Caenorhabditis elegans: one gene and its partner. The protein of the gene in region 1 interacts with the protein of each later gene in a pairwise test. Each region holds a gene or a part of one and is shown on either strand. Other genes may lie near its edges. The genes, in order: hrpu-2 and F47B8.3.

Region 1 (15,970 bases):
AACGGGGTTTTTTTAAAATTTAAATAAAACTTTTCAAACTTTTTCACTTTTAAATTCCGAATGATAATTAGTTTCAGCCAAGTTATTGTAGATTTAAGTTGGTGGCCTAGAAAATCAAAGGCGGAACTTCTAGGCCACATCCTTGTGAACTATTGTAAAATAACATACAACAATAACATACAACGATTTCTGGCCACGTTACGGCGGTATAAAGTTGGTGGCCTAGAAGTTTTCTTTAAACTGCCGTAACTTGGCTAAAAATTGTTGTTTCTAAAAATTACTAAACGCAAAATGTAAAATATAACACACTTTTGTAGAGCATTGGCAAAAAAACCAATTTTGAGTTGGCGGACTAACTTTGGATTTCTAGGATTTCTAGGCCACGGCCCATTTTAACACATGAATACTTTATTTATGCAAAATATACTGTACAAAGTTTAATATTAAATATGCAAATTTCCACCACCACACACATTTTTCCATTTATCACTCTAAATTGATGGAGAAAAATGAATATTCTGTTTTTGGCTTTACTCCCCGCAATATTGGCTCATGTTCGTACACATATTGGTAAAATTTTAACTTTTTCGTCAAAAATTGAAATTCAGCTTGACGAGAGCTTCAATTTGAGTATAATCATGCATAGAATCGCTTTGATTCAAAAAATTGAAAAAATTTAGGGTCCCACCACGAAAGCATTCAAATCTTAAGTAATTATACTTAATTTGAAGCTTAAGACGCTGAGAAAAATTAATTTAATTTAAGATTAAATTTGATACATAAAAATTAGAAAAAGTTCGAAAATTTCAATTTTTTTTTGAAAATTTTTTAGCAAGTAAAAAAAAATTAAATTTGATTGTTACTAGAAATTATATAAAATTTGGAATTCAGTGTATTCCTAGCTTTCATTTAAGTATAATCTTGCCTGCATTCCCTCCGGTTTGAAATTTTGGGTCCCACCACGAAATCGGCAGGTTTTCGTGGCGGGACCCGGAAATGTTCAAATTTGAGCAAAGTAGGTCATGATTATACTTAAATTGAAGCTCTCTGTGAGCTAAATTCAAATATTTCTAAATAAATTTTTTAACATTTTTTTCCAGATTGTTCCTGTCCGAAATTTATCGAAACCTATTCCGCCGAAGGCTCTTTTAGTATTGATCTCTATGCGACACTGGGCCCCGTTGAACATATCGACTACAGTAACCAATGTAGTGACGTCACTGTAACCTGCACATCTTACTCATCCACGTGGAATTCCAATGCGTGGGCGGTGTATAATGGAACGATGACGTCATTGTTGAGTATGACGTCACGGGTTTGGTGTGAAGGAGACACGTGGCATGTAGAGATGAAGAAGAGTGGAGAGACGCAGATTTGGAGTGATATATCGGTGTATTGCCAGTCATATCGATTTAGATAAATGATACTTGAAAACTTTTTTTATAGCTAAAATTTTTTATACAAATTTTTTGAAATTTTGTTTTTGATCTAAATTTTTTTCATTGCTCATTTTTCTTTAAATCTATTTTAAAATTTAAATTCAGCGTGTTCTCAGCTTCAATTTAAGCCTAATCATGATCTGCCTTGCTAAAATTTGAAAATTTTCGGGTCCCGCCACGAAAACCTAGCCGATTTCGTGATGGGACCCAAAAGTTCGAATCGGAGGGAATACAAGCATGATTATACGTAAATGAAAACTAGAAATACACTAAATTCAACATTTTATATTATTTCTAGTTAAAATTGAATTTAATTACTTTACGTGCTAAAAAATGTTCAAAAAAGATTCTGAAAAATTCGAAAATTTTGAACTTTTTCTATTTTTTATCTATCAAAAGTTTTCATGTTTTCTACTCAAATGGAGTATAATAATGTCCATATTTGCTGAAATTTTTTAGAATTTTTGGGTCCCACCACGAAAATCCCCCTGGGTACTGTAGTTTCCGTGGCTGGACCCAGAATTGGAGCAACCTAGTCATGATTATATATATATATATAATTAAAGCTCTTGATGAGCTGAATAAAAATCGTTATGCTGAGAACAAAAACCCTGCGCAAAAACCCATTTGACCTCTGCGTGATAATTCCTTTGATTTCAGTATAATCACGACTATTTATATTCCCTCCTATTTCGATTTTTGGGTCCTGCGATTAAATCTGCCAGTGGTACTGTATGTTTTCGTGGCGGGACCCGAAAATTTTTTATGTGGATGGCTTTACGCATGATTATACTTAATTTAAAGCTTAAGACGCTGCGAAAAAATTAAATTCGATAGATAAAAGTTAGAAAAAGTTCGAAATTTTTGAATTTTTAAAACTAAAAAAAAACATTTTGAAAATTTTTTAAGACTAGAAATAATATAAAATTTGGAATTCAGTGTATTTCTAGCTTTTATTTAAGTATAATCACGACAATATATCCCCTCTAATTTCAATTTTAAATTCCGCCAAGAAGTCTCCCGAGGTATTGTAGTTTTCGTGTTGGGACCCAAATTTGTTCCATATTCGTCACGTTTATGCTTAAATCAAAGCTAGAAGCAAGCTGAATTCAATTTTCATATTCTTAAAGTTTAGAGACAGGTGGTTTTTAAATTTTCAGGGTATAAAACTTCTGCTCCCCGCAAAAAAAGTTTGTTACCCAGTCAAAGAGAAAATCTTTTTATTTTTCATTTCCGGTGGGCCTTCTTCTCTTTTTTTTAATTCTACTCTGAAAAAAAAAATGCAAATGCACATTCGTTTTCCAATTTGTGTCCCCCTTTATAAACATGTGTGAGAAAATGCGTATTTGTGCTCCATGAGCAAGAATATTATCGACTTTTTCATATTTCAAATGATAGGAATGAGGAGGATTACCTTAAGCCGCTTTAATGTGGTGTTCCGTTTTATGATTTGTCAAGTGGAGCTTTACGGAAAAAAATGTTTTTTTTTGGATTTCCAGGCCACCACGTATTGTGTGGTGGCCTACTTTTATTTTATTTTAATGGAGAAATAAATTTGAATTATGGTGGCTTTTTCAGAATTTAAAAGTGCCGATTTTCAGCCGATTTTTTTGCATTTTAAATTGGTGGCCTAGAAAACCAAATTCTAGATTTTCTAGGCCACAGTGTTCCCAGGTTGTAGAACCAATTGGGTCAAGCTAGGGACACATTTTAAAATTTCAAAAATGTTTTTTTATGATACCTTAATGTCGGTGGCCGAACTTATTGGTTTCTAGGCCATCAACTTAAAAATAGAATAACTCTTTTCACTTATTAGTTTTTGATGAATTAAAAATTACTGTAGCTATGAAAATTCCTTTATCATTTTCTGAGATCATTTTTTAGGTCATGGCCTAACTTTGGTTTTCTAGGCCATCAACTTGAATTTTGGAAAAGCAAATTCAGTGGCCGAAGTTATGGGCCACCAAAAACTTGCACAACTTGCATAAAACATTTTAATATGATTCAAAGACCAAATTTGTCCACAAAACAATTTTAAGTCACGGTTTAAAGTTGGTTTTCTAGGCCACCAAATTTTAAAAAAATCAGTGGTAAAAAAAAATGTTTTCTAGGCCATCAATATAACCATCGTAACTATGCTTTAAATCAATTATTTTTAATTTTGCAAACTGGGAACAATTTTCATGGCCTAACTTTTCACATTTCTATACCACCAACTTTCTTTTTGTGGCCTAAAATGTTAGGGGGTTTCTAGGCCACGAACCCTGGTAAAAATGCTCATTTGTGAGCCAATTTAGTAGAGATTAAGCGTGCTTGTTTCAATTTTACATTAGGCCAGATGCAAATCTTGTTTTCTCCGTGGCCGTGCCCTTTTCTGAATGCTCTGCCGACGGAGCACACATACACAAAAGAGCACAAGACCTAGGCCAAATTGAGTTGAGCTTTGAGCTCTTTATCTCTTTTTTGGAGCACACACACACACACACATCTAATTTGAAGTGCTTGTAAATGTTAGGTGAATCTTTGTTTCTTTTTTTTTTTTGAGATTTTTTTTTGCTTCATTTCGAATTATTTTTTAAATATGTTTCTCGTTCAATCGGGAGAGTAATATTTTTAAAATCTATTGCATTTTTCAATTTTTAAAAATGTTAGTTTTCCACCAAGTTACACCCATTTAAAGTTGATGGCCTAGAAATCCGAATTTGGAATTTTCTAGGCCACCGAATTTAATATAATCAATTTGTATAATATTTTCGCAGTGTTCCAAATATTTTTTTTTAGAATTCGAATATATTAATTTTGAAGCAAGTCATGAGCAATTTAAGTTGGTGGCCTAAAAATCCAAAAATTTCTAGGCCACCGAAATAAAAACAGTAAATTTTATAGTCCACAGAGCTTTGCGTATTCTGTATGTTCCAGTTTTCAAAATTCAAAAATAATAGTTTCTCGACAAGTTATAGCGATTTAGAGTTGGCGGCCTAGAAAAAAGTAAGGCCACCATTTTTTTTTCGCCAAACCTTGGCAAAAACCGTTATTTTTTTCCTTTTAGAACATCTTTAGAAAATCTGTTTCTTCGAATATTGATGTTGGTGGCCTAGTTTTTCACATTTTGGTTTTCTAGGCCACTTTGTTCGTGGCCTAGAAAGCCAAGTCTTCAAAAATTAGACAAAACGAATAATGCTTTTTTCAGACATTGAAGATTTTGATTTTGAAGAGAGTTTTAACGATTTTCTGTTCATGGCCTAGAAATTTTAACTGGGAAAGTTAGGCCATCAACTTAAAATTGCTATAACTTTGAGGAAAATCCAAAATTTTAAATTCTGAAAACTAAGTCACGGACCGTCTGCTCTTCAAGTTTTGAAGTTGGTGGCCTAGAAATCCAAAATTTGGGTTTCTAGGCCACCAAACTCCACATGCCGAAACTTGGCTCCAAATTCGAGTTTTTGAAATTGTGAACCTCCACCAATATAAGAAATTTGTACGCTGTAAGCTCTACAATTAGTTTCGAGGGTGGTGGCCTAGAAATCCAAAATTTGGTTTTCTAGGCCACCAACTTTAAACCGTCGTAACTTGGCTCAAACTCGATGTTTTTTGCATCTGTAAACAGCAAAAACCTTGTTTTCAAGTTTTCAAGAAAACCTCTATACTACTGAAGCCTCTTTTTTGTATCAAATTTCATTTTGTGATTCTTTTCTTGCTCCAGTCTCCGGCTTTTTTCAACTTTTTTCACACATTCTTCTTCAGTTTTTTGTGCCATTTTTCTCCTTTTTTGCCTATTGTCCTGAAAAAAGAAGGATGAACCCCACGAGATAAAATAATTATCCCCTCTTCCCCTTGCGGTGAGCACTGGCTCAGCTCCCTATCCGATTTCAAAATTTTTCAACAATTTTTCCTTTTCATTTCTTCTTCCTGCTTATCTCCTTGCATTTTTGATTAATTTTTCTCGAAAAATTGACCTGAAACGCCATTTTTTAGTTGGTGGCCTAGAAATCCAAAGGTTGATTTTCTAGGCCATCAGTCTTAATAATCTAGTTTTGCGGCTTCAACTCCCAGAAATCCAAGTAGATTTTTGAAACTCAAATTTATTGATTTTGAAGCAAGTTACAAGCAGTGAAAGTTGGTGGCCTAGAAACCCAAATTTCGGATTTCTAGGCCACAAATTTCACAATTTGTAGAATAATTGGTAGCTAGTATTTCACAGTTTTAAAAAACGGCAATATTGAAGTGAGTTATGACAGTTTTAAGGCCATGGCCGAACTTTTTCCAGTGGATTTCTAGGCCGCCAACAGGCCAACACAAAATCGGTAAAACTCGGTTCAAAATTACAATTTTCATATCATAAAACGAAATTTGAAATGCTGAGAGATTTAGCTACTAAAATACTACATTAAAGTTGGTGGCCTAGAAAAATCGCATTTTGGATTTCTAGACCATCAACTTTAAATTCTTGTAACTGGCTGCAAACACAACATTTTCGAGTTCTGAGAAGATATTTGGAATAGGGAAAACCTACGAAACGTCTTTTTTTTTTAACTTGCCTTGATTTTCTACCCCTAGAATTCCTAGGTGGCCTAGAAATCCAAACTTTGGAATTCTAGGCCACTACATTCCCAGTTTGTAGAGCAACTTTTAACTAACTAGCAACACGTCTTAAACTTTAGAAATGCTAATTTAAAGCAAATTATGATACATTAAAGTCGGTGGCCGAACTTTTGGGTTTCTAGGCCATCAACTTAAAATTAGCATAACTCTCTTCAAACTTATCAGTTTTTTATAAACAAAAAACTGATTTTTATGTGAATATACGTTCTATTATCTCCCACAACAAAATGTTATGCTATGGCCTAACTTTGGCTTTCTAGGCCATCAATTTAACATTCCCATAACTCTGCTCAAAGTGCACATTTTTCAGTTTTTGAAAAGCCAAAATGGGCGGCTCACAATCTACAACAAGCTCTCGAGCCGCAAAATTCAGCGGAACCAATAGTGCGAACCGCCGGAGCGTCCGAGCAGTCCGAAGTGCTCCGGCCACTGAGCTCAACGCGCGGCGTGCCACTTCGTGTCGGAATACCAACAGGAATGTCAAGGAATTTTCAAAGTTTTGGAGTGATGGTAAATAACTTTTTTTTGTCTTTAAAAAAATTGAGCTTTGAGGAAAAAAAATTTTAAAGAAAATTTTTTTTTCTGAAAATTCTAAATTTTTATGTTTTTTTTTCGAATAACTTTTTTAAAAATTTTAGCGGGCTCTATAAATAGATCAAAATCGTCCAATAGAGCATCAATGAAGCAGAAGCAGAATGGAAACGGAAGCATACGCCGAAACCGAACACAGTGTGAGCTTTATAACTGAAATATCTCAAAATCTGGAATAGCTGTCGAAAAGTTTTTAACTAGTAAATTGTAGAGCTCTTTGTGCTTAACAAATTCTCAGATGGCAACTTTTTGGTATCATTTTGCTCCGCGGAGTTATAGCCGTTTAAAGGAGCATTGGAGATTGGAGCAGCTGGCTTTAAAGCTTGATAACTCTTCCAATAAAAGTGTTATCAAAAAGTTGTCAACTAACCATTTGTAGGGAATTCTTAGCTGAACAAATTATTAATTGACAATTTTTTCATATCACCTTGCTCCGCGGAGCTAGGATGCTCAGAAGAGATCCCGTAATCCTTGGAGGCTCGCCTCTAAATTTAAAATTTTTCCAGCCGTAGACGTCCGCCGAGCATCAAACTGTCTCCCGGTCCCCGGTACCCCGTCAACTATCCCGAATCCACAATTAACTCAGCGAAGAGCCACAAGTTTCCGAAGCAATGGTTCTTCCACGTCATCAACGCTTACTGTGAACGGAGAGGGGAGGAAGTCGAGGAAGGGGAGCACTACGGAGCTGCTCACACCGAATTCTGCACGATCTGATATTTATTCAATAGAGGTACGGTGGACGGTCACGAGGGTTTTTGAATTTTGGAAAAATATTGATTTTGAAGAGAGTTATGAAGGTTTGAAGTTGGTGGCCGAACTTTGAGTTTCTAGGCCACCAATTTTTGATGTTGTAGAACTAGCATAATCAAGTTTGTTCCCAATTTCAAAAACTCTCAAAATTACGCCAAGTGATGCAAATTTTAAGTTGGTGGCCTAGAATTCACAAATTTCGGATTTCTAGGCCACCACCTTCAAATTGGCATAACTTGGCGGAGAATTGAGTTTTTTTTTTGAAATTTAAAAACTGGAACAAACTTGCAAAAATGTGTTTTACAATGTCGTCAAATCTGGTGGCCTGGAAACCCAATATGAAAAAGTTAGGCCACCAATTTCAAACTTCGTAATTTGTTTCAACAGTGATTTTTTTGTTGAAAATTCAAAAATCACCACCGTAAAACTCTTTATTTCGGCAGCATTGAACTAAGAACAATGGCCTAGTTTTCCAAAAACTTGGTTTTCTAGGCCATCAACTTCAAGCCGTTGTAACTTGGCTCAAACCCCATATTTTTTGAGATTTTCAAAAGCTATTGTTTTCATAAAACGTTGAAAATTAGAGGGGTGGCCTAGAATTTTAACTTGTAGGTTTTCTAGGCCACCAAAGCATTTTTCAATTTTATCGATATTTTTGCGCAAAAAAACGAATTTTAACTCGAGTTTTCTCAAAAAAATCAATAAATAATCGATTTTTGCAGTTCAACCAAGCGGCGATCGCTGCCGCTCGTCTGAAACGCCTCTCGCTGACACCGTACCCGGACCCCCAGCTGCCGCGTCTCTCCCCATTACAACAACAACAGCCACATCATCGATCGAATTCCACAAAGAAGAGTGTGACGTCATCCGTCAGCCCAAAACCGCGCACACAACAGCCACGTGGCAAAAGCAACAGCAGCAACAATCATCTAAAATCTCCAGAAACTGCGATTTATTAATGAAGATTTTATATATATATATAAAAAACGATAAAATTTTGAATTTAACTTTTTTTTCATTCAGGTTTTCAGGGGAAATCTGCAAAATTCACCGAAAAAAACTTTTAAAATTTGAAATTCGCGGTGTAATGCATTAATGCACCGGGAATGCGCCAAGGCCTCTTGCTGGCGCACTCGAGGATCACCGCGCGCACGAGAAACGCGCAAACAAAAAACGCAGTGTTTTTCGCGTTTTTCATCGATTTTCCATCGTTTCTCCTCGTTTTTTTCTCATGTTTTCTTCTTTTTTTCTTCTTTTTTCATTAAATTTATTGATTTTCAGCGTAATTTCAACGAGTTACTCAATAAAAATGACCGACGAGACTGAAAATGTGCCGAAAACCGAGCAGGAGGTCCCAAATGACCCGGAGTCTGAAAAGGAAGTGAAAGAAGATGCAAAGGAGGAGGTAAAGGTACGTTTTTCTTGGGTTTTTTACTTAAAATATTTATAATTTCAGGATCTAATCCCCGAATTCTACTCTCAACACGGCGGAGACCCACGTTTGATCGATATCGCCGCGTAATGATGCAAAATCGGCCGAATTTTTCCAAAAAACTTTGATTTTTTCAGGTCTGTCTGGCTTTCTGGCATCCCAACTGACTTCATCACGGATACCTATGAGCAATTCTGCGAGACCATCAAGAATATCATGAAAATGGGTCATAAGCTCGATGTTTCCACGGTTTCAAAGGTAAAATCGGCGAGAAAAATGGGTTTTTTGAATTAAAAATTGCGGTTTCAGATCGTCCGAATTCCGAATCTGGACAGCAACGCCAAGAATTCGGTATTTTATACTATTAATAAGAATTTTCAGACAAAAAACAAGCATAAAATGCGTTTTAGGCAGTGCTTTTCAAGAAAATGCGCGATTTTCAAGTGGAAAATGCTTGTGTTGAGCTCAATTTATCGAAAATTACGTGGAAATCCAAGAATTTAGGCTAAAAGTGGCTCGAAAATCAAGCTTTCGAGTCGAAATTTCAAGAAAGTGCAGAGAAAGAGAGAGAAATTCACCTTTTTCGGAGGATTTTTCACAAAAATTCTGCCTTCTGAGCCAAAATTAGTTCTGAATTCAAATTTTTTTTTTTGATGATTTTTCACTCGACGTGGGGGGAAAAGCTTAAAATTCAAGTTTTTAAGCTTTAAATAACCTTCTAGATTACATTTTAAAGGGGATTTTCACGGAAAAAGAACGATTTCTCACAATAAAACTGGAGTTTATAGCAGAATTTGGATAGGAAACGCTTGAAAGTCAAGTTTTTAAGCTCAAATTTCAAGAAAATAGACTCAAAATTTAAATTTTCGTCGGTTTTTCCCAGAAAATCCAGTTATTCGTGCCGGAAATGGCCTAAAATTCAAAAAAAAAACTGGAAATTCATAATTTCTGACGAAAAATTGCGATTTTCGAGCCAAAACTCGTCCCATTTCAGCCGACAATGGCTCAAAACTCGAGTTTTAAGCCTAAAATTACAGTTTTTAAGGGATTTTCACAAAAAATTCCAGGGTTTGCAGCCGAAAATAGCTCAAAACTCAAGATTTTAAGGGTTATGGTTATCACTTCCAAAATAGCCTGAAAATTAACGTTTTCAAGCCAAAATTCAAGTTTTTAGGCGATGATTTTTCACAAGAAAACCTCAAAATTCAAGTTTTTAATGGTATTTCAATTCAAAAAAGAGCTGAAAATGCACAGAAATTTCTGCCGAGAAATTGTGAAAATTTTCAAGCCAAATCTTCTCTCCAATATCTCCTCATCCATATGTGGCTTCATATTACAGGAACATGCTCTGCGAGCGCTAATCTGTTTCTCAGACAAGAAGCACATTTATCGAATGATGACACGTGAAGCCGAGTTTGCGAAAGAAGAAATGAAAGTGGAATTGATTGAAGAATTGCCGTCAGACGCGTTGGAAATCAGTGAAGACGATAAATGTCTGCTTTTGAACGGACTTGTCGAAGCTGAAGACGCTGGAGATGATGTTGATGTTGGTGGTGGAGATGACGATGAAATTGATGAATTAATGGATCATGATGATGAAGGAGGGCATGATGAACATGAAGAAGATGAAGAAAGTGATGTTAAAAAGGAGGAGGAAAAAGGTTCGCAGAAGCAGCAGCTGGAAAAATGCATTTTTTGGAGGGATTTTGACCCAGAAATGGGGGTTTTCGGTGAAAAATGACCCCGGAATGCTCTCAAAACTAGAAAAACATCAAGTTTTTGCGGTTTTCATACCTCAGAAGTGAGCATTTTGGCTTGAGAAAACCATCCGTGCGCGGTTTTGTTACCTAAATCAGCAGCAACAACTGGAAAAATGCAGTTTTTGGAGGAATTTTGAGACCCGGACACTTGAAAATCACTCAGAAATGGGGATTTTTGGTTGAAAATGCTCTCAGATGATTTTCATTGCTAAAAAATGCCTCAGAAATGAGCATTTTGGCAGAAGAAAACCATCAGCGCGCGGCTTTGCACGGTTTTGACGCCAAAATCGGCTATTTTTTTTTGGTTTTCCAACTTAAAATCGCATTGAGTGGTCGTTTTAATCATTTTTTTTGGGGATTACTGGACATCGGTCACAATTTGTCTCCCTGAAGAAGAAAAAAGTGGTTTTGGCACCTAAAATCACTCAGAAATGGGTATTTTTCAAGCTAAAAACCGATAATTTCGACTTTTGGCTCCGAATATGCATTTTTCGGAGGGATTTTGGCTCGAAAATCACCCGGAAATGGGGGTTTTCGGTGGAAAAAGACCCCAGAATGCTTTCAAAACTAGAAAAAGACATCAAGTTTTTGCGGTTTTCATGCCTCAGAAATGAGCATTTTGGCTTGAGAAAACCATCAGCGTGCGGCTTGTTTTTGCCACCTAAAACCACCCAGAAATGAGGTATTTTTGGTGAAAAAAGACCTCAGGATGCGCTAAAAACTAGAAAATATCAAGTTTTCATGGTTTTCGTAGCTGAAAAATGCCTTAGAAATGAGGATTTTAGCAGAAAAAAACCATGAGCGCGGTTTTGTACTACGGTTTTTGGCACTAAATCGGCTATTTTTTGGGTTTTGAACCTAAAATCGTCGTTTTTAGAGAGAGAAAACCATAAAATGGTTTTAAAATTTCTTTTTAAACCATTTTTTGGAGATTCATCACAATTCGCCTCTGAAGCAGTCGATTTTTTGATTTTGGCATCTAAAATCACTCAGAAAAGGGCGTTTCGGGCTAAAAAGTCGATAATTCGAATTTTGGCGCCGAATATCACTCAGAAATGGGTATTTTGGTCCAGAATGGCTTTCAGAAGGTATTTTTGCTCCGAACAGAGAGAAGCGACGCAGAATTTCTCAAATTTGTGGTTTTAGCGCCCGAAATCATTCCGAAAAATCATGAATGCCATCAAAAATGAGCATTTTCGATGACAAGAATTTTGTCTTAAAAGCTCCAAATTCCAATGAAAATCATCAATTTTTCGTTTTTCAGGCAGCGAAAAGAAGGAGAAGAAGCCTGAGCCGCCAAAGAAGAAGGTTTACGAAGATGAAGATGAGAAGGCTCCGTTTGAAATGTATTGGGATGGAGCTCCGGAATTCCAGTGGAGATGTATGTGAAAATCCACAATTTTCACACTGAAAATTTTAACAATTTTCCTTTTTAAAATATAAAAAATCACGATTTTTCACTCAAAAACACCAAACAATCGTTATTTTTAACCCCTAAAACCACAAAATGACACAGTTGTCCTTTAAAAAGTTCGAAAAATCCCCCAAAAATTTCAATTTTTCTCTCAAAAACACCATATAATTCCGATTATTTTATTTTTAAAAACCCCCAAAAAAATCATAATTTTTGTTAAAATTCTGAAAAAAAAACACTGAAATTTAATAATTTTTATATAAAAACCTCTCAAAAAATTTCAATTTTTCTCTCAAAACCACCAAAAATACATCGTTTTTTTTTCCTAAAGCTTCAGCTCCAAAAACACTTCGATTTTCATTTAAAACCCTAAAAATTCCGATTGTTTACTTAAAAAAAAAACGGAAAAATATCGATTTTTAATTACAAACCTTCAGAAAAATTCTGATTTTTCACTTGAAAAAAAAACACCGAAATTTTATATTTTGATATAAAAACCTCAAAAAATTCCAATTTTTATTTAGAACCCTCAAAAATTCTGATTTTTTATTTAAAGACCTTGAAAATTCCGATTCTTCCCTGAAAAATCCCGATTTTTCACTCATAAAAACTCCAAAAAACCCGATTTTTCACTTAAAAAACTCCAAAAATCCCGATTTTTTACTCAAAAACTTCAGAAAACCCGATCTTTCACTCAAAAACTTTTTTAAAAAACCCGTTTTTCACTCAAAAACTTTGATTTTTCACTTAAAAACTTCAAAAAAATCCATTTTTTTCACTCAAAAACTCCAAAAAACCCAATTTTTCACTCAAAAACTCCAAAAACCCTCAAAACCTTTACCATGTTTTGCAGTATGCGAAGGACCACGCGACGAGAAAAAGCTGATAATCGATAATTTGTTGTGGGCCGATTTGAACAATGTCTTCATCTACCGTACAATTCAAAAATCGACAACGTGTGAAATCAACTTTCCGACTCGTTTCAATTCCGATGGAAATCGTACGTGTCACGGAAAACTGACACTCTTTTTCCCGGGAAATGTTGCAATTATGGATGAGGCACTGAAGCATTTGGTCTATTTCCGTAGTGGAGATGGAAGAAGAATTAAAGTTTTTCTGCCACAAACCACAGTTTCTTTGAAACGAAAAGAGGAATTCGAGGGAAAACTCGGAAGAGTTATTAAGCCGACCGAACGAATGATGCAGTTGATTGTGAAGATCCTTCCTGACGGTTATACTCCGACGCTGGATGAAGCTTGTGCTTGGTTCCCACTTCAAGCCGTTATTCAGTGTGATTTGGTTAATGATGAGATGGGGTGAGCAAGAGTTTTGTGGCTGAAAATAGCTTAAAATTGATTAAAAATAGCTGAAAATTCACTAAAACTAGCTTAAAATAGACGAAAAATAGCTTTAAAATTCACTAAAATAGCTTAAAATTGACTGAAAATAGCTTAAACTTGACTGAACATTCAAAAAAAAATAGCTTAAAATTTAAGAAAATTGTCTGAAAGTAGCTGAAAATAGACTAAAAATAGCTTAAAATTGACTGAAAATAGCTGAAAATTCACTAAAACTAGCTTAAAATAGACTAAAAATAGCTTAAAATTCACTAAAATAGCTTTAAATTGACTGAAAATAGCTTAAACTTGACTGAAAATTCACTAAAATAGCTTAAAATTTAAAAAAAATTGACTGAAAGTAGCTGAAAATAGACCAAAATATCCTGAAAATAGACTAAAAATAGTTTTAAATTGATTGAAAATAGCATAAAATTCACTAAAATTAGCCTAAAATAGAATAAAAATAGCCCAAAATTCACTAAAAATAGCTGAAAATAGACTGAAAATTGCTTTAAAAATTACTGAAATCGCAGAAAATAAGATAAAATTTACTTTGAAAAAACGGTGTAATTCGCTTAAAAATTTATGGAAAAAGCGTAAATTTTCTTGAAAATTGCTAAGAATGAAAGGAGGAAAATGACAATTAATAGCTGAAATTTGAGAGAATTAACTGAATTTCTATTCAATTCTCAAGTTTTTCAATGAAATCTCACAAAAAATTTGAAAATCATCTGAAATTCTGCAAAAAAAAAGTAGAATAAACTGTGAAAAATCTGCTGAAAATTCATCATTTTACTTAAAGGAGGACTAACGGTTCGGACGATTTCGAACGTATAGACCCAAAATGAGCTCAAATGAATGAATTTCGTAATGAAACTGCTCAAAAATTTTTCAAAAATTTTTTATGGCGGTTCAAAATTTGGAAAAAATTACACGGATTTTAGCTAAAATCACGATTTTTTCCCATTTTTCCGTGTCACATCTGTTCGAAGTTGGATTTTTTGGAATTATCATCCTTTATTGCATATATTATTTGGTAGTTTATCTTATTTAATTTCGTTGATTAAGGTACATTTAAAGCCGATAGGTAGCCAAAAATCATCGAAATTGGTTACCTATCGGCTTTAAATGTACCTTAATCGACGAAATTAAATGAGATTAATCACCAATATATGTAATAAAAGGACGATAATTCCAAAAAATTCAACTTCGAACAGATGTGACACGAAAAAACGAGAAAAATTCATGATTTTAGCTAAAATCAGTGTAATTTTTTCCAAATTTTGAACCGCCATAAAAAATTTTTGAAAAATTTTTGAGCAGTTTCATTACGAAATTCATTCATTTGAGCTCATTTTGGGTCTATACGTTCGAAATCGTCCGAACCGTTAGTCCTCCTTTAAGTAAAATGATGAATTTTCAGCAGATTTTTCACAGTTTATTCTACTTTTTTTTTGCAGAATTTCAGATGATTTTCAATTTTTTGTGAGATTTCATTGAAAAACTTGAGAATTGAATAGAAATTCAGTTAATTCTCTCAAATTTCAGCTATTAATTGTCATTTTCCTCCTTTCATTCTTAGCAATTTTCAAGAAAATTTACGCTTTTTCCATAAATTTTTAAGCGAATTACACCGTTTTTTCAAAGTAAATTTTATCTTATTTTCTGCGATTTCAGTAATTTTTAAAGCAATTTTCAGTAAATTTTAAGCTATTTTAGTGAATTTTAAGCAATTTTCAGTCTATTTTCAGCTATTTTTGGTGAATTTTGGGCTATTTTTATTCTATTTTAGGCTTCGAAATCGTCCGAACCGTTAGTCCTTTAAAATTCAATACTTTTTTCCAATAAATTTTCCAATTTTTCAGAAATCCGTGTGCAGTTGTAAAATTCGAGACAGCCGAAGAAGCTGTGGCCGCTCACGCTGGAAAATCCTTTGTGACAATTGTCCAAAAATCGATGATAACTGTAAAGGATTCGGAAGGAAATGAGAAAGAAGAAGAGAAAGAGACGGAGACACACTGCAATGTTTTCATGAGAGGAGGTATAATAATGGGGTTTTAGACGGAAAATTGACGATTTTTGGGTCTGAAAATGTGAAAACTGGCCGCGGGAAACGCATTTTTCAACCAAAAAATCATGAAATTTGAGCTAAAATATCACAATTTATGATTAAAAAAGGTAAAAAACACGTATTTTATTGTAAAAATATCTGAAAATCTCAAATTTCAGCCAAATTTTGACCCAAAACTTGTGTATTTTGAAGATTTTTGCTCTAAAAATCGAAAATATACTGAAATTATATTTCTTCTGCACAGTTTTCTCTAAAACAACGAGAAATTAATGCATTTTTTACCCGAAAATCGAGTTTTTAAAGTTATAATTGCTTTTTTTTGTGATTTTTGACAATTTTTTCGACTGAAATGCACGAATTTTGTCTGGAACTACATTATTTTCCACTAAAAATCGTCAAAAATTAAACGAATTTGGCTGAAAATTGAGCAATTTCAGCTGAAAATCGCTTTAAAATCTCAGCTTTGACGATTTTGTTTTGGAATTCCAAAAAATCTAATTTTTCTCAACGTTTTCCTCAAAATTTAACATTTTTCGAGGATGTTCGCTCGAAAAATTGACCGAAATTGAAC
Region 2 (14,966 bases), on another chromosome or scaffold:
CCTGAATTTTCTAATTTTTTATTATGTTTTTCTTTTTTGACATTCATACTTTTCTGTCATATCAGAATATTTTGAGAGCACATATATTGTATTTGTGTTCCGCTCAAAACATTTCAATTTCAACTGACAATTTCAGAGTAGTGTTCCATTGCTGAAAATCTGTGATGACCTAGTTTGAGACAGCTTCACTTTATTTTCTATATGACATCACGAATTCCAAAAATTGAAATATTCCATGACGAGTTTATTATTTCAAAAATAAATACAAATTTGACCGAAAAAAGCGAGTGTATTCTTAATGCTATTGTGATCAAGTGAGATTTTGTCAGATTATAGTATTATTTGAAGAAAAAGGTGGAGAAATGTACATGAAATGGAGTTTCTGGGGGTTTATGGGACGATGTACTGATTTCCTCCGATGTTCTCAGTTGACTTTGCGTATTTCCAGAGACGATTGACTAGGACGTACTTGAGGATTTCAGCTGAAAGTTTGAAGTTTAATTTTTTTAAAATTTATTTTTGAAAGTAATCACGAAAATTACCTCCGATCAACAAGACAGTTCCAAATTCAAGAGCATATCCAGAAAGCATTCCACGATAGAACATCTTTTTCTTTTCCTCTTGAGTTTTAAAAATAACATCCTCCACCTCAAACATGGTTTTATTTGTATCAGCCAATCCAGAAGCAGTGAAACTGGCAAACATAACTGGCCAGATCATAAACTGAAGGACAGCAAGAACAACTGCAATTGCGACAACTCTCTGGGACCATTTCAAGGCTGGCTCGTTGTTCCAAGCGGCTCCGAACAATAGAAGAAGGTTGAGAAAGACGAAGATGAGATCAGTGACACGGTCTCCCCAATTGGTCGAAATAATGATGAGACCGATTCCACGGGCGGCACCAAGAACTGACAGGACACATACAAGAGGACGAGCTGGGATGCAGCAAAGTTTTGGAGGCTCAAGACCTAGTGGTGGATTGTTGGAGTAGTCCATTCTGAAAGTCAGGTTATAAAGACGTTTAATGAAAAAAGAAATTATTATGGAAGAGCAAGAAAATCATAATCAAAAACACATGCAAGATGAATGATTTGTTGAATTGTTGTTATATTGTGTGGCGCACTTATGATCTTTTGTAGAATGCATTTTCATGTTTTCTCATAAAGGGCGGAGCCTTTTTTTCGTCTTCCATTTTTGTGGTAAGTTAAGCGAAAGATCGTCATATCTTTTCATATTCCTCATAGAAAATTTTTATTTGTGAGGAATAAAAAATCTTTCTGACGGTCTTCTGCGGCGTCATCTTTTTTTAATCGAGATCAAAATTTTAGTCTGAAGAATTGAAGAAGACATATGCCGATTGCTAATAAATTGCAGAAAAAAAGTTTTAGGCTCTGACTTCTGAAAATATCCAATATTTTATCGATTTCAAAAACTCTGGTTCAACACCTTTGCCATTTATCGACTGAAACTTCGAGAATTACCAATTGCAAACACTTCTGGCCTCTCACAGCTTTGAAAATTGCCTATTGTTAAAGTATTCAATTGTAGCTCAACAACTGGCAAAAAAATAAGCTATTTAGCAAACAACTCTCAGCTCTAGTCAACACGATGTACCCTTATCGGAACGCTAGCAAAAATTTAAAATCATAAAAGTGAGCAATACATATGTGTGGTGTGAAGTAAAAAAGACAAAAAATGGATAGAGGGTGGGTTTTGGAGGACTTAGTTGGGAAAACAGAGGGGTGTGACCTAGAGATAGTGGGACACAGACCACAAAGAAATTTTCGGAGTAAACACTTTCTGTTGACCACCACGTCATGGGAGAGAACAGTTGAACACCAAGGTTTTTCAATGGGAATCTTTTAAAATAGTTGAAAATTGAGATGATATAGAAGATGCTTTGGGGATAGCGAAACAAAAATTCAGAATAAATAGGAATGATTTTTCGTAATTTTATAGTCATTTTGTTTATTGGTAGTTTTGTTTTTCATTTATTTCATAACAGTGCAAAATGTGACTCATGACGTGTTTAGCATTATGTTCATGAAATATAAAATCATTGATGAAAAAGTTCAAAACGCACTAGTACTGCAAAATGTTTAAAATTCTGGAATATCAACTTTTCGAATTCAAAATTAATTGTTTTTGAGTTAACGGGTTAACTGATTTCCTAGGCTGTTATCGCATATTTATACAAAAAAGAGTCTGCGCGTTGTTGCTATGGAAACTGATTTTTGTTCTGTTTATCAGAATAGAAAGGATTATAGAGCATAGTGTGGCTGATACAAAATACGAAAACAAAAATAGGAGTTGAACATTCAGTTGAATGACTCGACTGTTTGTTTGCAAAAGAAAGTGCAAATCTTTGGCGCTGATCTATTATGAAATATTGAACACGGGAAACCAGAAAATAAATGAGATTTACAAGTTTGTGGGTTTTGTTGGGTTTATATGAAATCACAAAAATAGGTTGAAATCCTTAACTATCAAAAAGCCTGTGATCAAAGTATTCAGCCCACTTATAAACATCTCAAAAACGAAAAAGTAAATAAGATGAAGCGGAAGAGTGTGGGAGACACCCGCATTGATAATGTTGTGATCAGGATAATTAATTATCAAACTTAATAACTTGTAAGTTAAGTTGCATTAAAAAACAGTATTGTATCTCTCCGCCTACCAAAAAAAGTACAAAAACTACTACTGTTTAACCCTCTTATTGCCCAATTTCACTGCAAAAAATTATCTTGGCTCCGTAATTGCTACTTGGGGAACATGGGAAAAATTGTTTGAAGTTGCCGCACTTTTACGGCTTATATCTCGACTGTGTTGAGTGTTAACAAAACATTTCCATCTGTCAAAATGTTGAGGAATACTTTGCACGTATGCATTTTGTTAGTTGGCAATTTTGCATAGTACTGCAGACAATCGAGACATGAGCTGTCAAACTATAACAAGGGAGGGCAAATCTAGTTGGAAAATCCGGTAATATGAATTAGAATTTGAGAGTGGGTAAGAAATTGGTGGGAAAAAGCTTGAAACTGAAAACAATATTGAAATTGATGTTTGAGGTTGTACTCCTTTGAAGAAAGATGCAAACAAGAAAAACAACATGCATTTGGTCTATGAACCTCTCCGTCTTCCCTCCGCCTCTTTTATTTCCCTTCACCATTTTTTTTGCAACAAAGCGCATTTGGACTAAAACTATCCGATCTTGGGCAATGTTAAAAAGATAGTGTTTCAAAAATCAAACGTTTATTCAATTGAAACCGTAAAAAAACAAAAACCAGTTAGAGTTGGAAAGATCGGGGTAAAGTTGAAAAAAAAAACAGATTTTAGACAACGAGACGAGAGAATCTCATAATTTTCTTGGCTGGATAAGATCCACCACCTCCGGCTGGGGCAGCAGCACCAGACGAATAACCACCGGCGTCTGACGCTGGTGCTGGGGCAGGTGCTGGAGCGGTTTCAGGTGCTAGTGCAGCTTCGGGTGCTGGAGCTGGGGCTGGAGCTGGTTCTGGAGCAGGTTCTGCTGGAGCAGCTGGAGCGGCACCTCCTTCAGCATAATCACGAGCAACTCTTCTCTTTTTGGCTGGATAAGATGCACCACCGGCTGGAGCAGCGGCGCCAGCGGAGTAACTTGCGCCATCGGCTGCTGGAGCGGCGTCAGGTGATGGGGCTAGAGCTGGTTCTGCTACTGGGGCTGGTGCTGGAGCGGCTTCAGGTTCTGGAGCTGGAGCTGGGACTGGTTCTGCTGGAGCAGTTGGAGCAGCACCTCCTTCAGCATAATCACGAGCAACTCTTCTCTTTTTGGTTGGATAAGATCCACCACCGGCTGGAGCAGCTGCAGCGGCATATCCTCCGGCGTCGGCTGCTGGTGCTGGGACGGCTTCTGGTGCTGGTGCTGGAGCTGGTTCTGGAGCCGGAGCTGGAGCTGCATCTGCAGGTGGAGGAGGTGGTGGAGCTTCTACCCCAGCTCCTCCAGAATATCCAGCTTCTCCTCCTCCTCCTCCTCCTCCTCCTCCTCCTCCTCCTCCACCGCTGGCATAATCACAACTGATCGAGCAGACCATAGCAGACAAAGTCACAATAAGAAACAGCTTCATTTCTGAAAAATTCGAAGTGAAAGTTTTGAAAACTTCAGTGAAACTCACTTTGATGTGAAGAAATAGGAAGATGGAGAATGTAATGATACTTTTCAATTTCAACTTCCAACTTTTATACCGGGCAGCTGAAGAGAATGCGGAACACCTAAAACTAGTTCCTAGGGAAAAGCCAGTAGCTGCAAAAATAGAAAAAAACAACATCAATCTCAAATTTAACAAAAGGAATACAAAGAGAGAAAACACATTGTAAAATAACCGTGCTTTGTGAAACGAAAAACAAAACAAATTGAAAGATTGTGATATTGTAACTGTAACGGTTTTGCAGAAAGAGGATAATCGGATTTGAACAGATGCCTGTTTTAAAAATTGCATTTTTGTAATTATTAATACTGACCAGTCATTTTTAGGGTGTTTATAAACAATCTATGCTATGAAAAATATAATTTCCTGGTAGTCAAAAGTAGAGAAATGGATTGGCCAAATCTGACCTCACTTAAATTTTTGGAATTTTAATGAGGCATTGGCGACAGTCCCGTTGGTAATCTCCTTAATTTATTTCAATGCGGATTTCCAAATGTACTTTGAAAATATATTTTTTTAAATTCTCTTGGTAATTTATTTATTTTTCAGCTTCATCTGTTTTTGTTTTAAACTAATAGTTTCTCACTTTCATTTTCACAACAAAATCAAGTTTTGATTAGAAAGAGAAGTAGTATATAAACAGAAAAGACATCGAGAACGGCATCACTTCACCTTCTAATTCCAAGTGAGTTGGGACTTTTCAGATTATTCAACTAAATATTAATTTCCAGATATGAATCTCTTTTTGATCTTCGCTGCTTCTACTTTAATTTTCTCTGCTCACTGTCAGTATTCAAGTGGCGGAGGAGGTGGTGGTTACTCAGGTGGTGGAGGTGGTGGAGGAGACGCTGCTCCACCTCCTCCTCCACCTGCCGATGCCGCACCAGCTCCAGCCCCAGCTCCGGAACCAGAAGCCGCCCCTGCAGCACCAGCAGCCGATGCCGGAGGTTATGCCGCTGCTGCATCAGCCGGCGGTGGATCATATCCAGCCAAGAAGAGAAGAGTTGCTCGTGACTATGCTGAAGGAGGAGCTGCTCCAGCTGCTCCAGCAGAACCCGCTTCAGCTCCAGCTCCAGCACCCGAAGCGGCTCCAGCACCAGAACCAACGCCAGCTCCAGCTCCAGAAGCCGCTCCAGCTCCGGCACCAGATGCCGCTCCAACAGCCCCAGCAGCAGGCGCAGGTGGATATTCCGCCGGCGCAGATGCTCCAACTGGTGGTGGATCTTATCCATCCAAGAAGAGAAGAGTTGCTCGTGATTATGCTGAAGAAGGTGCCGCTCCAGCTGCGCCAGCAGAACCCGCCCCAGTTCCTGCACCAGAACCAGCACCAGAAGCCGCTCCAGCACCAGCACCAGAAGCCGCTCCAGTTCCGGCACAAGATGCCGCTCCAGCAGCCCCAGCAGCAGACGCAGGTGGATATTCCGCCGGCGCAGCTGCTCCAGCTGCTGACGGATCTTACCCGACTAAGAAAATGATGAGATTTTCTCGTCTCGTTATTTAACTGACACTTTTTTATATCCCCATGTATCTCTCTCACTGTAACCGGTTCATAATTTTTACGGTTTTTAATAACTTCATTTCATTAATAAATAGATTCATCATGTGAGTTTTACGAGGTATTCGGAGTAAATGAGGTTTGTAAAAAGATCAGGTAGAAAATAGTGATTCAATTCATTGTGTAGACCTTGGGAAGCTTCGGAAGCAAATTTTCTAGATTTGACAATGGTTCAAAAGCTCCATCAACGAACAGCTGAGGGAAGGTTTCACAATCTGATAATGCTTTTGAAATAAATCGAATTTCAGAATCTGTGGAAACATCAAATATAGTGTAATCTATTTGATTATCACTGAGTGATTGTATTGTAGATAGAGTTTGCTCATCCTCAAGATAATTTACAAAAAGAAGAACTGGTTTCCGGAAGATTTTGTAAATTTTAGCTTGACCATTCTCCATTTTTGAATTATCATTTCGAATTTCACTTTCTTCCTGAAAACATAACTTTTAAAATTGTACATGAATTTCAGTTCAGAACAAACCTCCCTTTGAGCTGTTTGTTTTGTCAATTGATCTGGAAAATTTGTGGCTTTTCTGCTAACGGGTAGTTTTTCTGGATTTGCAGTGTCTTCTTCCAAAGTTTCAAAAGTTGGAACATCAAATGGGTTAAGCTTGTTAATTAGTTTCTCAACTTTTTGAATTGAGAAATTGTCTCTCTGGAAATTTAATGATTGAAAATTTTAAGAGAATGTTTTAACTTACCTCTAGTTCATTTATTTCCAAAACGATCAGATTCAAAATATCGTCGAACTTGTCCAATTTTCTTTTTGCTAGCTGTGAATTTTGCAATTCAATGTACTCCGAAGCCACGTTTCTGAGGTCTTCAATCCTATTCTGAACAACTGTTACAATGATCTTCAATGCTTTCAGGTCATTCACAAATTTGTCTTCATTGGAATCCCAAAATTTGAAGACACTTTGAAACTGGAGAAATTGAATTCGCATTTGGATCATTGCATCTCTGAAAAAAATTTAAATTTGTTCAGTGTCTAATTTCATATTTTAATAAAAATTATGGTTTCCGCAAGTTTTCGCAATTCAAAATCGATTAATTATGAATGTGAGCAAATCTTGAATTTCACAAATGTTCCGCGTTTTTCAACGGAAAAATTACGGTTTCAGGCAAAATTTGTATGCTAAAATGAAATATTTTATCGAAAAATACAAAACATAAAATTAGGAGTGGAATTGAAATATTCAACTGAAATTTCGGAATCAAATTTCTTGGTTATAATTTGAAAATTTGGACTTACAATTAATACCTAATTGAATTTTTCTTATTCCACCTCAGAATTTCAGCTAAAAGAGCCTTTTCTAATCTGAAACTTACTGTCTGAACATCTTAAAAAATTTAAATTATTTCGCAACCGTCACTAGTTTTTCATGTTTTAGGGAACGTTTCTCTCACCTCAAAACTGTGAGTTTCACACCTAAATCCTCTTCACCAGCTTCACTTTCCAATTCGGGTTTCAGTTTCTCCGGAGACTTTCCAAAAACTCCGCGCATCATCGTTTCCTAGAAGGACGAAGCAAAAGAAAGAAAAAATTAAAATTGGTTGGCGAAGAATAACTAGTTCGAGAAAAAAGCAAACATATAAATAGTGTAAGAGAACGGAGACGCAGTGTTTCATAGTCAAGGCTTTTTCTCTGTTTCTCTTCGATTTATATGGTGCATCGGTGAGGAACAGGAGGATGGCAGAGAGGCTAGAGATGCCATGTGAGAGGGATACCAGGGTTCTCTGTTCTCAGATATGACCAAAAAGTCAGAAAGAGAATTTTAAGAAAAATGAGATATAAAATTACTGTTTCAATGGCTTTTTAAGCACAGCTCAAAAATGGAGGATTTTTTCAAAAAAAATCTTTCAAACGCCAAAATGTTCCACAAGTTTGTCTACATGATTCCTATTGAGGAAATCTCATATCCAAACTCTGGAAAAAGTTCAAGCAGCTGATATCTCGCGAGTCATTATTTGACAATTATTTTTGAAACTTAAGAATAGTTTTTTTTAAGAGTAGAGTTGCTTTAATAAAGCACAAATAAAAACGTTCTAACTACATTTTTACGTACGTCCTTTCGGAAAATCTTGCAGAATTAACGAAAAACTAAAATCGATGAAATTCGATAGCAAATCATATGAATGAATAGTTTTTAAATATCATTATTTTTGAAAAAATTTATTTTAAATTGATAATAAAAAATAAACAATACATATACATATAGCTTAGAAATTGTGTGATGCTCAATTCATTGTGTAGACCTTGGGAAGCTTCGGAAGAAGATTTTTCAGAATTGGCAATGGCTCAAAAGCTCCATCAACGAACAGCTGAGGGAAGGTTTCACAATCTGATAATGCTTTTGAAATAAATCGAATTTCAGAATCTGTGGAAACATCAAATATAGTGTATTCAATTTGATTATCATTGAGTGATTGTATTGTAGATAAAGTTTGCTCATCCTCAAGATAATTCACGAAAAGAACAACCGATTTTCGGAAGATTTTGTAAATTTTAGCTTGACCACTCATCATTCTACAATTATCCATTCTGATCTCATTTTCTTCCTGTAACATAATTTTGTAGCAAACTGTAAGAGATTTAAACTCACTTCGAGTTGAAAAGTCTCCCTTTGCGTTTTAATTTCTAGTTTTTCAGGAATATTTCCCATTGATGAAACTTGAGTATTCAGTTCTAATACGACGCCTTGAATATTTTCGTAAATTGGCACGTCGAATGGATTGAGATTGTTGATTAGTTTCTCTACCTTCTCGATGAAAAAATTTTGGCCCTGAAATTCTATTCTTAAATTTCTAAAAAAATAAAAAAACATTACTTTTGCTTTGCTTATTTCGAATGCTATTTTATTCAATGTATACTCAAAGCTATCAATAATTGTCTTCAACATCTGGAGGTTCTTGATTTTGAAATATTCTCCAACTATCAGCTTTATATCGTCAATTTGGTTTTGAACGACTATAATTATAACATTGAGTGACTTCTTTTCGTGCTCAATTTTGGCTTTATTCTGATGATAGAAAATACTTTGAAAATGTAGAAACTGAACTCGTAATTGAATCATTGCATCTCTGAAAATGTGCTTTCTGGTGAACGCAATATGTTTCCTATATACCTTAAAACTGTAAGTTTGACACTGAAATCTTCCTCACTTGAATGCCAAGCAGCTTCATTGAATTCTTCTGAAGAGCTTTCAAGATAATTTCCCATTTCAGTTTAGTAGTTTTGAAGTAAACAACAAATGTGTTGAAATGGAACACAAAACAGTCAGTGTGCAGTATTCAAGTATTCAACTGATAAGAGTATCACCTGGTCGAGCAGCAAAAAGTAAACAGCACATGCGAAATGATAGAAACATTTTATTAAAAGTTGATGTCATTTGAACCGTAAATGAAAATGAACCAGTTGGTAAAAGCAAGATCGAAAATGTAGAATAAAAAGTTTTCAAAAAACGAGACGGGAGAAGCGCATCATTTTCTTGGCTGGATAAGATCCACCACCTCCAGCTGGAGCAGCAGCACCAGAGGAGTAACCACTGGCATCTGATTCTGGGGCTGCTGGAGCAGGTGCGGGGGCAGGAGCAACCTCAGGTACTGGAGCTGGTTCTGCTGGAGCGGCATCTGGTGCCGCAGCCGGAGCGGCTTCTGGTGCTGGTGCTGGTGCTGGAGCTGGCGCTGGTTCTGGTGCTGGAGCCGCTTCGGGTGCTGGTGCTGGAGCTGGAGCTGGAGCTGGGGCGGGTTCTGCTGGAGCAGCTGGAGCAGCTTCTCCTTCAGCATAATCACGAGCTACTCTTCTCTTCTTGGCTGGATAAGATCCGCCACCGGCGGGTGCAGCCGCAGCGGCATATCCTCCAGCGTCAGCTGATGGTGCAACAGGTGCGGCTTCTGGAGCTGGAGCTGGAGCTGGAACTGGTTCCGGAGCTGGTGGTGGAGCAGGGGCTGCATCGGCAGGTGGTGAAGATGGTGGTGCAGCTTCTCCTCCACCACCTCCACCACCTGAGTAACCACCACCTCCTCCGCCACTTGAATACTGACAGTGAGCAGAAAAGATTAAAGTAGAAACAGCGAAGATCAGAAGGAGATTCATACCTGGAAATTAATATTTAGTTAAATAATCTGGAAATCCCAACTCACTTGATGAGGAATTAGAAGGTGAAATGATGCCGTTCTCGATGATTTTCTGTTTATATACTGTTTCGCCTTCCAATAAGAACTTGATTTTGTTGTGAAAATGAAAGTGAGAAGTTGAAAATGTAATAAAATTGAAGAAGCTAAACAAGGAAAACAAACAAATCGCTTCAAAAATTATTGCAGGCTTTGTTAATTTTATTTTTGCAAAGACACTGAAAATTGAAGTTTTTTTTTTGAAAATTGTGAAAACAATATTAACTTAAAGATCTTCACGAATTGCAGGATTTTTTTAAACTATTTATTTGAAATTCCTAATATTTACGCCGACAAAAATCACTGTCAAAATTAAACATATACATTCTCATATGTATCACTTCTTCGGTTCGAAAGATTGCAAATCGTTCTTCCTTTATCAGTGTCTTCACGAAATGCATAAATCGTTCGTAGTGTAAATTATTAGGACCCGTTTCTGATAGATGAACTTCTAAATTAACTTGACAGAGTTCTATTCCATTTCTGTCAAAACTTCCGTCTTTCTCGAAAATTTCAAAAAGATCGTATTCGGCACCTTCGGAGTCCATCCACAAATTGTCAATTGTCTGAAATAATAGTTTTTGAAACTTAGAAAAGTTTAAAACCATACCTTCAATTTTAAAAGCCTTTCCACAAAATACATCATGTCTACATGAATAACACTTTGATTAAAATATTGCCCTGAAAATTTGAATAATCATCTCAAATTGTATTTCAAAACTTTCTATTTATCAAAACACTGGCCGTGGCATATCCTGGATTTTTAGCAACTGCAAATGGAAAATATTTTCCTATTTGTGGGTATAAATGTTCATTCACTTCAGTCATTGGGTCGGCACCGTAGAATTCGACGGTTTTTCCGAGTTTTCCCATTTTCTGCAATTTTGGCTCAATTTTCCAAAATATTTGTCAGTTTTTTTTTTTCAAATAAAAACACACCCTTTGCCATCTTTGCTCTCCAGTGATGTCTTTTCCAATTCCGATGGTTACAAATGTGTGTCTTTCATCATTCTGGAACTGAAATTAGTGTTATTGTTTTGTCTTGACACGCTCAAAAAGTACTTTACTGAACTGATTTATTTTGGAAATTTTTGTATATTTTTTCAATTTCTCTTTTTGACTTTTTATTTCCTTTGAAATTCATCAATTCCCATCTTACAGGAAATTCAATGTAACCAAAAAATCTTTTTTTTTTCAACTTTAAACTACAGTGTATTTTTTTTCTATACATTTTTAAAAGATGGCGAATTCATTTAAATAAATAAAGCTTCTCCAATTTCATAACTTCTCATTCACCTTTTCAAAATTTTCGATTCCTATAAATAATTTCCATTTCCCGCTTAAATCAGCCGTTGCTTTTTTCCTTCTGTTATAAGTTTTATGTTCCACGAAAAATGAGGCAAGCCTTAGAGATAACATCTCACTGTTTCAATGTTATCTGATCTGTTTTCTATGCACCTTAGCATAACCTGATTCCACGTGTTGTGATCATACGGTTTTTCAAAAAAATAAAACTCACATTTTTCGGCAAAATTGCAACTTTATCCTCATCCTTGTTTTTCAGAGTGATGAGGCCAAGCTTGTCGATTTCAGCGTCTTCGTCGCATTTTTTGGTTAACTTTGTAAATTGAGTCCAGAACTGAAAATAATTATTTGGAAAGTGAATTTAAAAATGACTACTGAAAATTGTTTTAGTAAGTTCACTGAAACATTTCAGAAAGTATTTCAAAATGTTTCATATTAAACTAAAAGTTAAAAAATGTAAAAAAATTGATTTTCTAGCTGAAAATTATTTTTAGTTATTTTTCAACTTTAATTTGGAACATTTTTAAAACTTACTGTATTTTTGAAACAGTTTCATAGATATCATTACAGATTTTTTGTTACTTTAAAAAAACTTTCACTATAGCCTTTTACTATAGACTATAGCCACATACCTGAACAGGATCATCAATAACCAAGAGGCTCCACTTTGCACAGTCCAGCCATTTCTTAAAAATTTCCTTCTTATTCGCGTCCATAAAAACTGTTTGAAGGTCTTCTTCGTCTGCGGCTTCTTCTCGAACATCTTCCTGAAAATTTCTATAAAGTTTCAATGTTGAACCGTTTAATTGATATTTAAAAAAATAAAAACTTTGTTGGAAGGCTCAAAAGTTTTGAAAGAATCTTACCAGATAAGCAATAAAAACTTTGTAACAAGCTAGAAATAATGTGAATAAGAGCAGAATTTTAACACATCGTTGAACTTTATTTTTCGTCGTTTTCATGAGAAACTGCGACATTTGGGAAAAAGATGTGTGGATAAGAATTCCGTTGCCAATTCCTACATATAAGCTATTGTATGGAGAACGGAAAAAGGGGTGGAGATTATAGGGGAAAACACATTCAATATTGATTCAACATTAGATTGAGAAGTTCAGGTGAACGAAAGAGATCAACAAGGAATATCAAAAGTTCGGATTATGTGTGTGCCATTTTCACGCCTTTTTTGGGACTTTTACAAAATTTTAAACAGAAATTGACATCCGGTTTTGGAAGATTTTTATAACCTGGAATTTTTTATCCTTATCGATCAAGAAATGCAATTCTACGGGACTGAATATAATGGAAAATACGCTGAAAGCATTTTCTTCAACAATTTCAGGGTAAATTTTATTCAGTTTCCTTGTCTCTCTTGTCTACTTTCTTAATGAAAAACAAATTTATTTTTTTGATCTTCAATTTTTTTTTAAATTTTAAAGGATATTTTATTAGCAGCCTCGCGATTGTTTTGGCAGTTTTTCGCGATTATATTCATGAAGGCGTAGGGAAGGTTACTGTGTATGAGAACCGTCTCTCAAGTCGTCATTGTTTAAGAACTGAATGATTTCTTGTCAGAAACTCAAAAAAATTAGAGTGGTATTTCACCCTACATTTGGTAAGTGAGAAAAACTTTATGTGGAGAGTACATCTTGTAAGGAAGCGTCGAATCCATTTTTAAAAATTATTCGATTTTTGATGTATTACAAAAAACATTTCGGTCAATCCTTTCAAAAGTTTGGCAATAAGCCGATCTGCAAAATTACAGCCTTGGGTAAGGACTTGTCGTAATCTTGGTAGACTACATAAAACTTTTTTTCAACGATGTGCCCATGCGCCCACCACTCTTCCGTATTTCTATTTAGTTTGAACATATAGAAAAAGATAATTGACGTATTAGATTTCTCTGATCTTTGTAAAAGATAATTTTTTCTCAATTAACAACATTGATGACGTCCATTAAATCCTTACAAAGTGTATGCGATATGTCGTTTGCTTTCCTTTTCAGGCTACATACGCTTTTTTTCGAGAGAAAGTTATCTAAACTGAATTGAAAAAATTAAAAGAAAGCTGTTTTCAAAAATTGAGTTTTCGCGATGTTTGCATTGTCAAAAATTCGAATGTCCAAAGTATTCAGTTATTATTGTTGTTTTTGGTATTGTTTTTGATTTACCAACAACCAAAAACCAAAACTGCCTGCAATCTTTTTCCATTTCTCTTATTTTGTTGCATTACCACCAACAAGTATTTCTCACACACATTTTCAATCGTAAACGCCTTCTCATTTCCATCTATTCTCATTTCAGTTTGACCTTACAACTAAAAATGTCAGAACTTCTTACTACGTACAGGCCAATTAAAATTCTTCTCCAACTTGATCCCAATCTGGGAAATAACTCATACAATGGTAGAGTAAAAATCGATTACGAGTTCACAGGAGAAACATCGGAGATCAAAATTCAAACATCTAGAGATTTTCAGTGGACTTCTGTCAGACTTGCCACGTTTTACGATTTCAATGAAGGATGTCCTGTGTGTAAGTTTTTAAACTTAAGTCTATTTAAAAGATTTGAATCAGTAAAATTTTGATTAATGTTGAGCAATCAACGTCCAAATAAAAAATGTTTTTAAGGCAGTCAACCTTTTTGGTAAATTGCCGAATTTTTCAAAAATGTGGACTTTTGTTTAAATATTTTTCCAAATTTCAGATGCAAGTGTTGATTGTGAAAACTATGTCCATGATGCCGAATCAGAGATACTGACTCTTCCATTGGGAAACCCCCTCACTCCTGAAACTACTGAAAATGGATTCTACATTGAATTAGAATGGACTGGACCTATAAATCCTCAGGGAGAAACTACTGGACTTTATGCAATTGATGAAAGTACTATTGAAGCAAATATGAAAGATGGGAATGCTCATAAAGTATTTCCATGTTATGAGGGAGGAGTTTCTGCAAAGTTCTGGCTGACTGTGATAACTGATGAAAGAACTAGAGTTGAAACTAATATGGTATGCTTTTGGAAAAGCAGAGTTTTGATTTTGATAAATGTTTCAGGATGACGCTGGGCACGAAGAATTCGAAGGAAGAGTGAAGAATAACTTTTTAAAAGAAGAAGAACTTACTATTGAAGATGTTTACATTTATGTCACACCAATTATCGATATGGAATAGTGTTTCCAATTTTTTTTGAACAATTAATTTACCGAATCAATGAATAAGTTTTTTTATTCATATATGTATGTGTTCCCTGGATGTTTCATAAGTATGACAAATTTACTAAATGTTCACGTGTGCTTGGGGGGTACGTATCAAGAAGTTGCTAGTTTCCGAAAATTTTTGGACTTGGCGTTTTTTTCTGATTTGTTAGGGGTCTCGAGTTAATCGTCCTATGTGGGTGAACTTCATAAAAATATTTTTTCTGCCTCTTCCTATATTAAATCCTGAAATTGCATTCTTGACAGAAATAAAAAATAAGGGCACGTTGTCGTAATGGGGTGTCCCGAGAAATGTGACTGCACTTTGAGAGCTTATATCTTGGCTTAGGGTTGGCGGTTTCTTGAGCAATTTGTTTCAATAGCTTATAAAAATAGCGCCTTCCATCGTCATCATTGTGGGGGAGCTTTTGGGAAGGCTAAAACACTGATTTGAGCGGAATTCTGGAGTATGGTCGAAATGGATGTATTCTTTGTACTGACGAATTTCATGTTTTTTCAGCCCCAAATCTTCAGTTTTTCTGACATTTGGTTCCA

What was found.
Region 2: the proteins of hrpu-2 (region 1) and F47B8.3 interact in a two-hybrid assay, tested with the Caenorhabditis elegans proteins (one large-scale study listed by BioGRID).

What each region holds. Positions count from the first base shown.
Region 1 is NC_003282.8:2,169,239-2,185,208, forward strand, and holds the start of hrpu-2 (RRM domain-containing protein), read left to right. Parts: upstream 1-8,657; 5' UTR 8,658-8,691; coding exon 8,692-8,793; intron 8,794-8,838; coding exon 8,839-8,900; intron 8,901-8,951; coding exon 8,952-9,072; intron 9,073-9,123; coding exon 9,124-9,165; intron 9,166-10,153; coding exon 10,154-10,475; intron 10,476-11,838; coding exon 11,839-11,955; intron 11,956-12,841; coding exon 12,842-13,304; intron 13,305-15,193; coding exon 15,194-15,369; intron 15,370-15,970. Other genes in the region: C54E4.1 (uncharacterized protein), read left to right, coding at 6,368-6,551, 6,680-6,772, 7,139-7,362, 8,105-8,341.
Region 2 is NC_003283.11:14,315,629-14,330,594, forward strand, and holds F47B8.3 (Glutaredoxin domain-containing protein), read right to left. Parts: upstream 7,376-14,966; 5' UTR 7,249-7,375; coding exon 7,148-7,248; intron 6,701-7,147; coding exon 6,442-6,700; intron 6,396-6,441; coding exon 6,222-6,395; intron 6,172-6,221; coding exon 5,851-6,171; 3' UTR 5,739-5,850; downstream 1-5,738. Other genes in the region: F47B8.2 (DUF2700 domain-containing protein), read right to left, coding at 391-482, 543-996; F47B8.13 (Skin secretory protein xP2-like), read right to left, coding at 3,333-4,103; F47B8.14 (Skin secretory protein xP2-like), read left to right, coding at 4,918-5,685; F47B8.4 (Glutaredoxin domain-containing protein), read right to left, coding at 7,979-8,299, 8,344-8,523, 8,569-8,821, 8,866-8,960; F47B8.18 (Skin secretory protein xP2-like), read right to left, coding at 9,195-9,836; F47B8.5 (Methyltransferase FkbM domain-containing protein), read right to left, coding at 10,192-10,479, 10,524-10,594, 10,639-10,789, 10,853-10,930, 11,433-11,552, 11,851-11,985, 12,085-12,195; pepm-1 (Aminopeptidase N-like N-terminal domain-containing protein), read left to right, coding at 13,538-13,748, 13,921-14,225, 14,272-14,388.